Linked DNA regions of Drosophila melanogaster. The protein of the gene in region 2 interacts with the protein of the main gene of each other region in a pairwise test. Each region holds a gene or a part of one and is shown on either strand. Other genes may lie near its edges.

The links. Proteins that work in one complex are often made in the same cells at the same time.
Region 1: the proteins of gus (region 2) and CG14589 interact in a two-hybrid assay, tested with the Drosophila melanogaster proteins (one large-scale study listed by BioGRID).

The regions. Positions count from the first base shown.
Region 1 is NT_033778.4:6,135,315-6,138,942, forward strand, and holds CG14589 (uncharacterized protein), read left to right. Parts: upstream 1-1,988; 5' UTR 1,989-2,112; coding exon 2,113-2,499; intron 2,500-2,674; coding exon 2,675-2,946; coding exon of another isoform or gene 2,947-2,951; intron 2,952-3,003; coding exon 3,004-3,094; 3' UTR 3,095-3,097; downstream 3,098-3,628.
Region 2 is NT_033778.4:5,125,280-5,129,834, forward strand, and holds the start of gus (gustavus), read right to left. Parts: upstream 3,043-4,555; 5' UTR 2,947-3,042; intron 2,245-2,946; exon of another isoform or gene 2,124-2,244; intron 2,064-2,123; exon of another isoform or gene 1,970-2,063; intron 1-1,969. UniProt on the Drosophila melanogaster protein: Involved in the localization of vas to the posterior pole of the oocyte. Required maternally in the germ line for efficient primordial germ cell formation.

The DNA.
Region 1 (3,628 bases), 1.0 Mb from region 2:
ATTTTCTCAAAGAAATAACACTAATCTAATCTTGTATGTTATATACAAGATAATTTAGATTCTTTAAGAAATCTGTAAAAGGTAATTTGAGTTTTTTCTGACACTATAAATTTTATGGTGTGTTGTTAAGCAGGATCAGTGGCCGTATCCATCTACCCCTAACAGTAAAAAAAGGCAAATAGGATTTAAAGGCCGAGATCGCTTTGGACTAGGATTCGGTCATTATCCATATTCAGACCAGCCTAGAATTGGCCCTGATGGACTTGGAGTAAAGAAAATAAATCCTTATTCTTTGTCTGTGCAAACGTGCGCGCATAACATACATAAATACGAGAGCTAATTAAACGTCTGCATACCGACATTTGATAGATTGTCGACGAAAATAAAAGTTGAATAAAACATATATGTAATTTTTTGATATTTTCCTAGGTAAAACAAATTATTGGGGGCTTTAGAGGCACAATGATATTTTTTATTTCCCTGTGCAAATATTCCAATTTTTCTTGTTTTTATGTTGGCTCGCATGACATTATTTGATTAAAAGTGACAATTGTAAGCCTTGTTGGTATTGGAGTAATACCAACCGAGCTCCTAATGCTTTTGTACACTATGTATGTAGATGTTGGCATCCTGGGTGTCAACAATTCTGATCATAATGCTCACTGGCAGCTAGTCCCTCAGATTGCATACTAAGCAGAAAACCAGCGTGCGTACATAATTGGCGTGCCCTTGTCGCGCCAGTTATCGATAACTATTTCCTGCACAGTTAAACTGGAACGCAGTACGGCCAAAACAAAAAACTCATCAGTATTCAGGAGGCTGGGGGAACTGAGCTCTTGTTGTTAGCGCAAGTGCCAACTCATTGGCTTAGCTGTAAGCGTTGGGTGCTGTAATTGCAGCACGCGCTGCTGCTTTTCCCGGGGGCTAGGAACTGATGCTCCAGTAAGCACCTGACAACGTTGGCTGGTAAAAAGCTTCTGGCTACAGAAATAGCGATGCACTTGCCACAACGCAGTCTGTGTCGTCCGTATTTGGGGTCGCCCCAAGCTCCCACCCACCCAGTCCTACCCCTTAGGCCTTCCAACGAACACTAAGGCACATTTGTTATAATTATTTTTAAAGTGCACATATTTAATCAAGTGTGGATTGGGCTGCTATGCAGTAGCACTATGTATGCATGTCAAACAACTAATTAGAGCCCATTTCTTTCCTTTAAGGAATTCTTAATTCAACAGAAACAATGGTTTCGAGTTTAAGGCAAATCAAATTTTAAATAATATAAACGATACTTTAAGAATGAATATTTAAATATTTTTTGAAATTCCAATAGAAATTGGCAAATAATAAATTCAAATTAAATCGAAGTATTCAACTTTCTGAGCGTAACAATTTTTTGCAGATTTTGGGAGTGGTAATCAACTCGGCTGGTAATCTGCTTTGATCAAGAATGTATGTACAAAGGATAAAGTTAAGGATCGCTACCTTCTGTATATATACTAAGCGACAGTAAACCAAGTGTGCAGTTACTCAAGGAAAATTTTGTAGGAGATTCTGTAAATAAAATCCCTGTGAAAAACCCACCAAAGTTCAATGCACGAATCTTGACGCAGTTGCTGCGGTTCATTATTATATTGGTGTTTTGGCTAATTAAGTCATAAAATGGGAAACCCCAGACACGCACACAAACAAACACAAAATCAACGAAAAATTAATTTAAAAAAAGTATTAGATATTAGAAACACCTCTACTAACACTAGTCATATTGTAAACAGTCCAAATAGTTAGCCGCTACTAAAATCGAATAAAATCAAATTAAATTTTCAAAGTATACATACCACGTTCAAAAAGTATCCTAAGTGAATTAAATTTTATTAAATGAATACGCTCTTTGAACTATTCAATTCCGAACTCAGCAAAGTTACGTTGTTCATGAGAACATTAATTACTGTCGGTTATTAACTTTTAAACGTTTAGTAGTAGGCTTCGAGAGCCCTTTCATGGGTAGAGTTTAGTTTGTTTATCCTTAAATGTATTTCCACCACCGTAATCTCAAGCAAACACAACAAAAACACGAGAATTTCAAGTACGGAAAGCAACACATTAGAAGGACCAATGTGGAACGTATCCTCGATCCTGGAAGGGCTAGAGCATGAGCAAGGAGTAAACGCGGACCTCCGCGGCAAGAACGTGTTCAACTTGTGCGTGACCTTCTTGTGGATATTTCTGTGCATCTACGTCCTGTCCAAGCTAACCCAACTCGTGGAGCTCTTTCTGTGCCAGCGGCTACTTGGCCAGAAGCAATGGTACGACGTCCGCACGATCAAAAACGAGTGGGAGCAGACCCTCCAGCTTTATGAGGACGATAAAAGCCAGCTGGACGCACAGGTGCGCGAGTTGCGAGAAAAGAACCTGAGTATGGAGCGCTTGATGGTGGACCTGCGAGACTACAACATCCACTTGATCAGCGAAAACTATATGCTGTCCGTGATGCACGAACAGGTTAACAAAACAAACACAAAACAACCAACATATTTGAGAATCTATTGATCTTAAAATCGCGCGCAATATTATTTTCCATTCAAAGACACTGTTACACTGCTAGCCATGTTATGTAAAGATCTAATTGACCTCGAGACATGTAAAGTGTATTAACAATTCATTGTTCTTTGCTCAGAAACCAAGGCCGGCCGAGCCGAACATCTACATCACCAACAGCCACTTCCATCTCACTCGCCAGATGTTTCTGAACGATAGTCAAATCAATCTGAACGTCCATGACCATGGCGAGAAAGGAGCTTCCGGGGAGGGCAAAAATGTCTGGCTGCAGTATCTAAGGATGCGCAAGTGCTATATGAGCCCGATTGCCGATCCGAATTCGATAGATCCCAGCAGCACCACCAAGCAGATTCTCCCAATTGTTATGAGCACCGAGCAGTTGGCCGAATTGCAAGGTGAGTAAAGTAACAATTTGTGAGATGTTAATAATCGTTGTCTTTTTCTTAGGCATGATCTAGTTAGTTTTAAGTTATATGCAAACATAAATCTCGATTGTTGTATTGATCGCAAAGAAAAAAGCTCAAACAAATATATTTAAATTAATTGCTCTACTTTTCCATTGTTTTTAAACGGAAATAGCGCAAACCTCGGTCAAAACATTTGTCACTATCCTTGCAGTTAAGATAATTATGTTATTCTCACATGTTTGTTTTTCGATTTGAAACGTAGAATCTGTAGAATGATTACTGTTTGTAGCCTTTAAGCTGGAAATAAAAATTAGCTTAGTAATGTTATTTATTTCAATTCGATTCATATTCCAAATTCAATTTTAGCTCAGTGCTTTGGACCACAGATAATCGGTTTTATTTGCCTAACTACCTACCACCTACCGCCTCCCAATTTCCTAAACGCACCGCCCTCTCCTCCCTTCGATGGCCTTCGCGACAACATCTGGCGGAAACGAAACGAAAACAAAATGCAAAATATAGCTGTCTACCAGTCGGTCGTCTGTTTGTTCCAACTGCGACTGCTAAGACGATGACTTATCAAGGCAGAATTTAGCGATTGGTTCTTTAGCTTTCTTCTTCGTTCCCCCACTGTGCCAGAACTCTCCATTTTATTTTCTTTGCCA
Region 2 (4,555 bases):
CAAAAACGCCACGCGATTCTTTTCTGTCTCTTTTCGTGTTTTATATAAACTGTTTTTCCAATGCTTTCAAACTTAAGAATCGAATATAAGCAAATTTGAATATTTATTACTTATGGTAGTACATTATGAAGATATATTTTTTTACTAATGTGAAAACATACTAGCAATACTGTATATATATATATATATATATATATATAGTATTATATTAATCATATAATAATCAGAACAATCACAGATTATCAAGACAACCAGGAATCCGATATTTAGATGCGAGGCAAGAAGATATTTCAAAACTTAGTTAGCGTATCGATCGATTTCAAGTAAAAGGAAAATCGAAAAAAAAAAATTTCGACATAAAAGCTATTTAAAGCGTGCCAACCACTTTTATTCGTATCATTCCTAAAGCTTGTACAGCTAGTTGTCTTATTGAATTCCTTATTGTTTTGATTTCACAGACCGAGTTAAAGCAAAGACAATAGAATTACAAGATGCGTAACGGCCATTCATTGGTTTTGCACTATGCAGCCACTTTTTTGTTGACGGTCAAAATTGCTCTCTCTCCGCTTGAGTAAAATTGAGAGCGGTATAAAATCGAAAAAAATAATACACTTGCTTGTGTGTGCTAAAAGAATAAACGAGAAAGCAAAGACACTAGAATAACTAGCGTCTTTGGAGAATGTTTGTATGTGTGCGTACTTGTGCTAGAAGACGATTTTCGGGCAGAAATCAATTTTGATCTAAGATCCGATATAACATATTTAGAGTTTCGGGCAATTTCGTTGCAAAATGATCTACTCAAATAATATTTAAACATGTATGCCTTGACTATTAGATTTTTAAAGTGTTTCATATAAATGTTTCATATCTTAATTTGTGTTTATAATTAATAATATGTAAAACGGGACTGACGACATCTTTTGCGACATCAATTTTTAAAGTTGCAATGTGAAATATTTAAAAAAAAAATTACATTTCAAAAAATAAATTTCTAAATAATAATAAAAACATACATACATACATTAAACACATAAAGAAAACGTAGAGTTTCTTGACAGTCTCAAAATTCTTTTCTTTATATTTAATATTTATAATTTGTTTTTTGATTTATAAGTAAAACAAAAATATATTTCATAAAAAAATAGCGTTTGAACATTTTTACCTTTAAGGTCAAAAATTCAACTTATTTCACAGTGTGTAAACAGTTTCTTGACAAACTGTATATACAATATATAAAAATACGTTGACTGTTTATTGCAAAAATGATTTCTTGAGACACGAAGTGCGAACATAAGCACCCAACAATCATTGTCTCCTTTATTCTTACGCATACAGTGACAGCCGAAGAGGGCAGCTGGCTGTATATCTTTCCGCACTCTGGCTCTTAAACAAACATTCGAGAGAGCCTGGAGCCATCTCTAGAGCCAGCACCAAAAAATCGAGAGAAAAACAAAACAGAATGCTGTAGTCGAACGTAAAATTGCATACATTTTTTGGGATATCGATAGATAAAGATAAAATAAAAAGGATTTAAAAATGGTTTAAAAGTGTGGGCGTGACCGTTTTGTTGGTAAAAGGGGAGGCGTGGTTACGGTGTTTTTGGTATACCGATAAAAAATTGGCAAGACAAACAAAAATGAAAAAAAATCTAAACATTTTTTTAAAGTGTGGGCGTGACAGTTTGGGGAAGTTTTAGGGCGTTAGATTAGGCGTGGCAAAAAGTTTTTTGGCATATCGATACAAATTTACAAGACTAATTAAATTATTGAAAAATATCCAGAAATTTGTTCAAAAATGTGGGCGTGGCAGTTTTTGGCGGTTTAAGGGCGTTAGAAATTTTTTTTTTGTAAATCGATAGAAATTTACAAGACTAAAAAAAATGTGAAAAAATATCAACACATTTTTTAAAAGTGTGGGCTTGACAGTTTTGTGTGGTGTGTGGGCGTTAGAGTTTGCGTGGCAACATGGGTCACAAACTTGCGCTGCGTCTATGTTTTTAGAATCTGTATGCTGAATCTCAACATTTTGGCTGATCTTGATGCTGATATGGACAGACGGACATGGTCAGATTGTCTCGATCAAGAATATATGTATTTACATATGTTTGTATATACTTTATATAGTCGGAAACGCTTCCTTCCTCCTGCTACATAGTTTTCAACGGATCTAGGAACCCTGTTACTCTACGGGTATAACGAGTATAACAAATAGCGTATAGTCTGAATGACTAAAGGATGTAGTGAAGTAAGTTAAAGTAAACTTTACATTGTGTGAATTAACAATATGCTAGTGTAAAAGCGGCTTGCGCCGCCTTCATTGAGTTAAGCCTGCATATTACCTTTTAAAAGAAAAGTAGTGATGCAGTCTTGGTTTAAATGTAATTTTTATACTAACCAAAATTTCGTATTGATTCAACTTTACTGTTAAAGTTAATAGAAAATAAATGAAAAGTTGCTACAGCACCGACGAACTATTCATAAAAAAAAAATTCGAAAATCATATAACTGAAGCAAGCCCATGGCCAGATCGACTTGTCTAGTAATCCTGATCAATAATATAGTTATTTATATACATATGCTTAAATACTTTATGCATTAGGGAAACGCTTCCTTCCCTATAATATATTCTCCAACAAATCTTTAAGATTGTATGCAATTACGTATGTATGTATTTTTGGTGATATCAGATTCACTCCTAATTAATATTCTTATAGTGTTTTTGTACGCTCATACAAATTCAATCCAAGGAGATTGAATACATGAAGTTCAATATGTACAGATAAGTTTTCACATATAATTATTTTTATCACATATCTCAAATTTTTATCTGATTAACGTTTATAAATATGAACATACATATGTTCTTACATTCCATATTTATAATTAATTGATCAATTCCCACGTTAGATATGTGTGAATTTCATTTATCAGTTCCTGTGAAACTTACATTACTTTTATCTTGTCGATTTGCTATGATTAAAATAAAACAACACATAAAGCAAAATATCACTCAGGAACCTTTGATGCACAAAACATTCATTTGTTTGTATATCCACTTATACCGTACATCAACAGTGTTGTGACATGTAACGATTTTTGTCATGTGCGGAATGAGTGGGATTTTGGAAAAGACTAATAATTTCTTCGAAATTATATAATTTAATTTAACTTCAAAGACCGAAGTTTGGTAAAGACTTTCTAAGTCAAGCCGTTTCAAGATTTAGCACAACATAATGTAAATTAAACAAATTTTAAAATCTTTTTAAATGAAGTTATTCATTTTATCACCATATTACAATTTTTTAAATTAAAGGTATCTGATTGACCCCATGCGTAAAAGTAACTTGATAAGTTTACAATTGCAAATTTTTGGTTTACCCAAACCAAAAAACTGTAATAATTCATAAAAACAATTATCTGTCTCGCTTGTTTTTACGGTATGACAGGCACATTTTACCTACTGTCGCATTACGCCTAAACTGCCAAACAATTTTTCATTTTATTAATATTTATGCCAAAAGCTGGCATTAGCTGAATAACGGGTAAATAAAAAAATATAAATATAAAATAACTAAAACAGTTTATTTTACTCGGCGTTATTAATTGAAAACCGGGTTCTCCTTACCGAATACGGCTCGTTCAAAGAATAATAAAGAATAATTAGATGCTTAACTGCCATATATTGTTTTTGCAGGTTGCACTTTTTTTGATGACATCCGATTGTTTATTGCGACTCCGCGCGGCAATGTGCTTCCTTCTACATTCTTGGCTTTGACTTTACGCGACTGAACTGCCTCTCAGTTCGTTCAACGTATGATACGATAATATACTGTTATTCTACCGCTCGTTTTACATACGCTTACAAATGGTAATATTGTACCTAATTTCAACAACTGTCCTTAATGTTACCATTTTTCAATTAATTTCTCAAAAATTTACACAACATTTCTCATGTATAAGTTTTGACAAAATCTTTTTTACATGTCGGCTATTATTAAACATATCGTTCAAAATCGCTACACAAAACTCGTCTTTTCATTGCTCAAAAACAGCTAATAAACAATAATTTGCAACAAGCTCGCAAAGCTGTTTAAAGCTTTAACACTTCAATTAAGTAGCACTCCGGCATAGGACGTCGCTGCCCCCTCTTGGGCGAGCTATCTGGCTGGACTTCTATTCTATGTTTACTACGATAATAGATAGCCATCCTGAACTAACAAACATAGAAAAGTTGCAGCATCTAAGAACATGTCTGAGGGACACTGCACTTGAAATATCGGATGGCAACTATGCTATAGCATTGAATTTGTCTGTTTGTTTAATATTCCAGGCACACATTACTGAGATTCTAGGGCAAGGGCAGTTCAGAATGGTTCCGTTTCAATGCTTTGTAAACTGTGTGATAAATTCAACGCTCATATTCGCGCGCTAAATGGAATGGGCTCAACGACACAAATCGTTGGATGAATTATCGCCCAAGTACTTATCCAAAAGCTGGATCCGGAAAGTCTGGCGAAATGGGAGCAGCATTTGGAGAACCAGTCTTAAAGAATTCA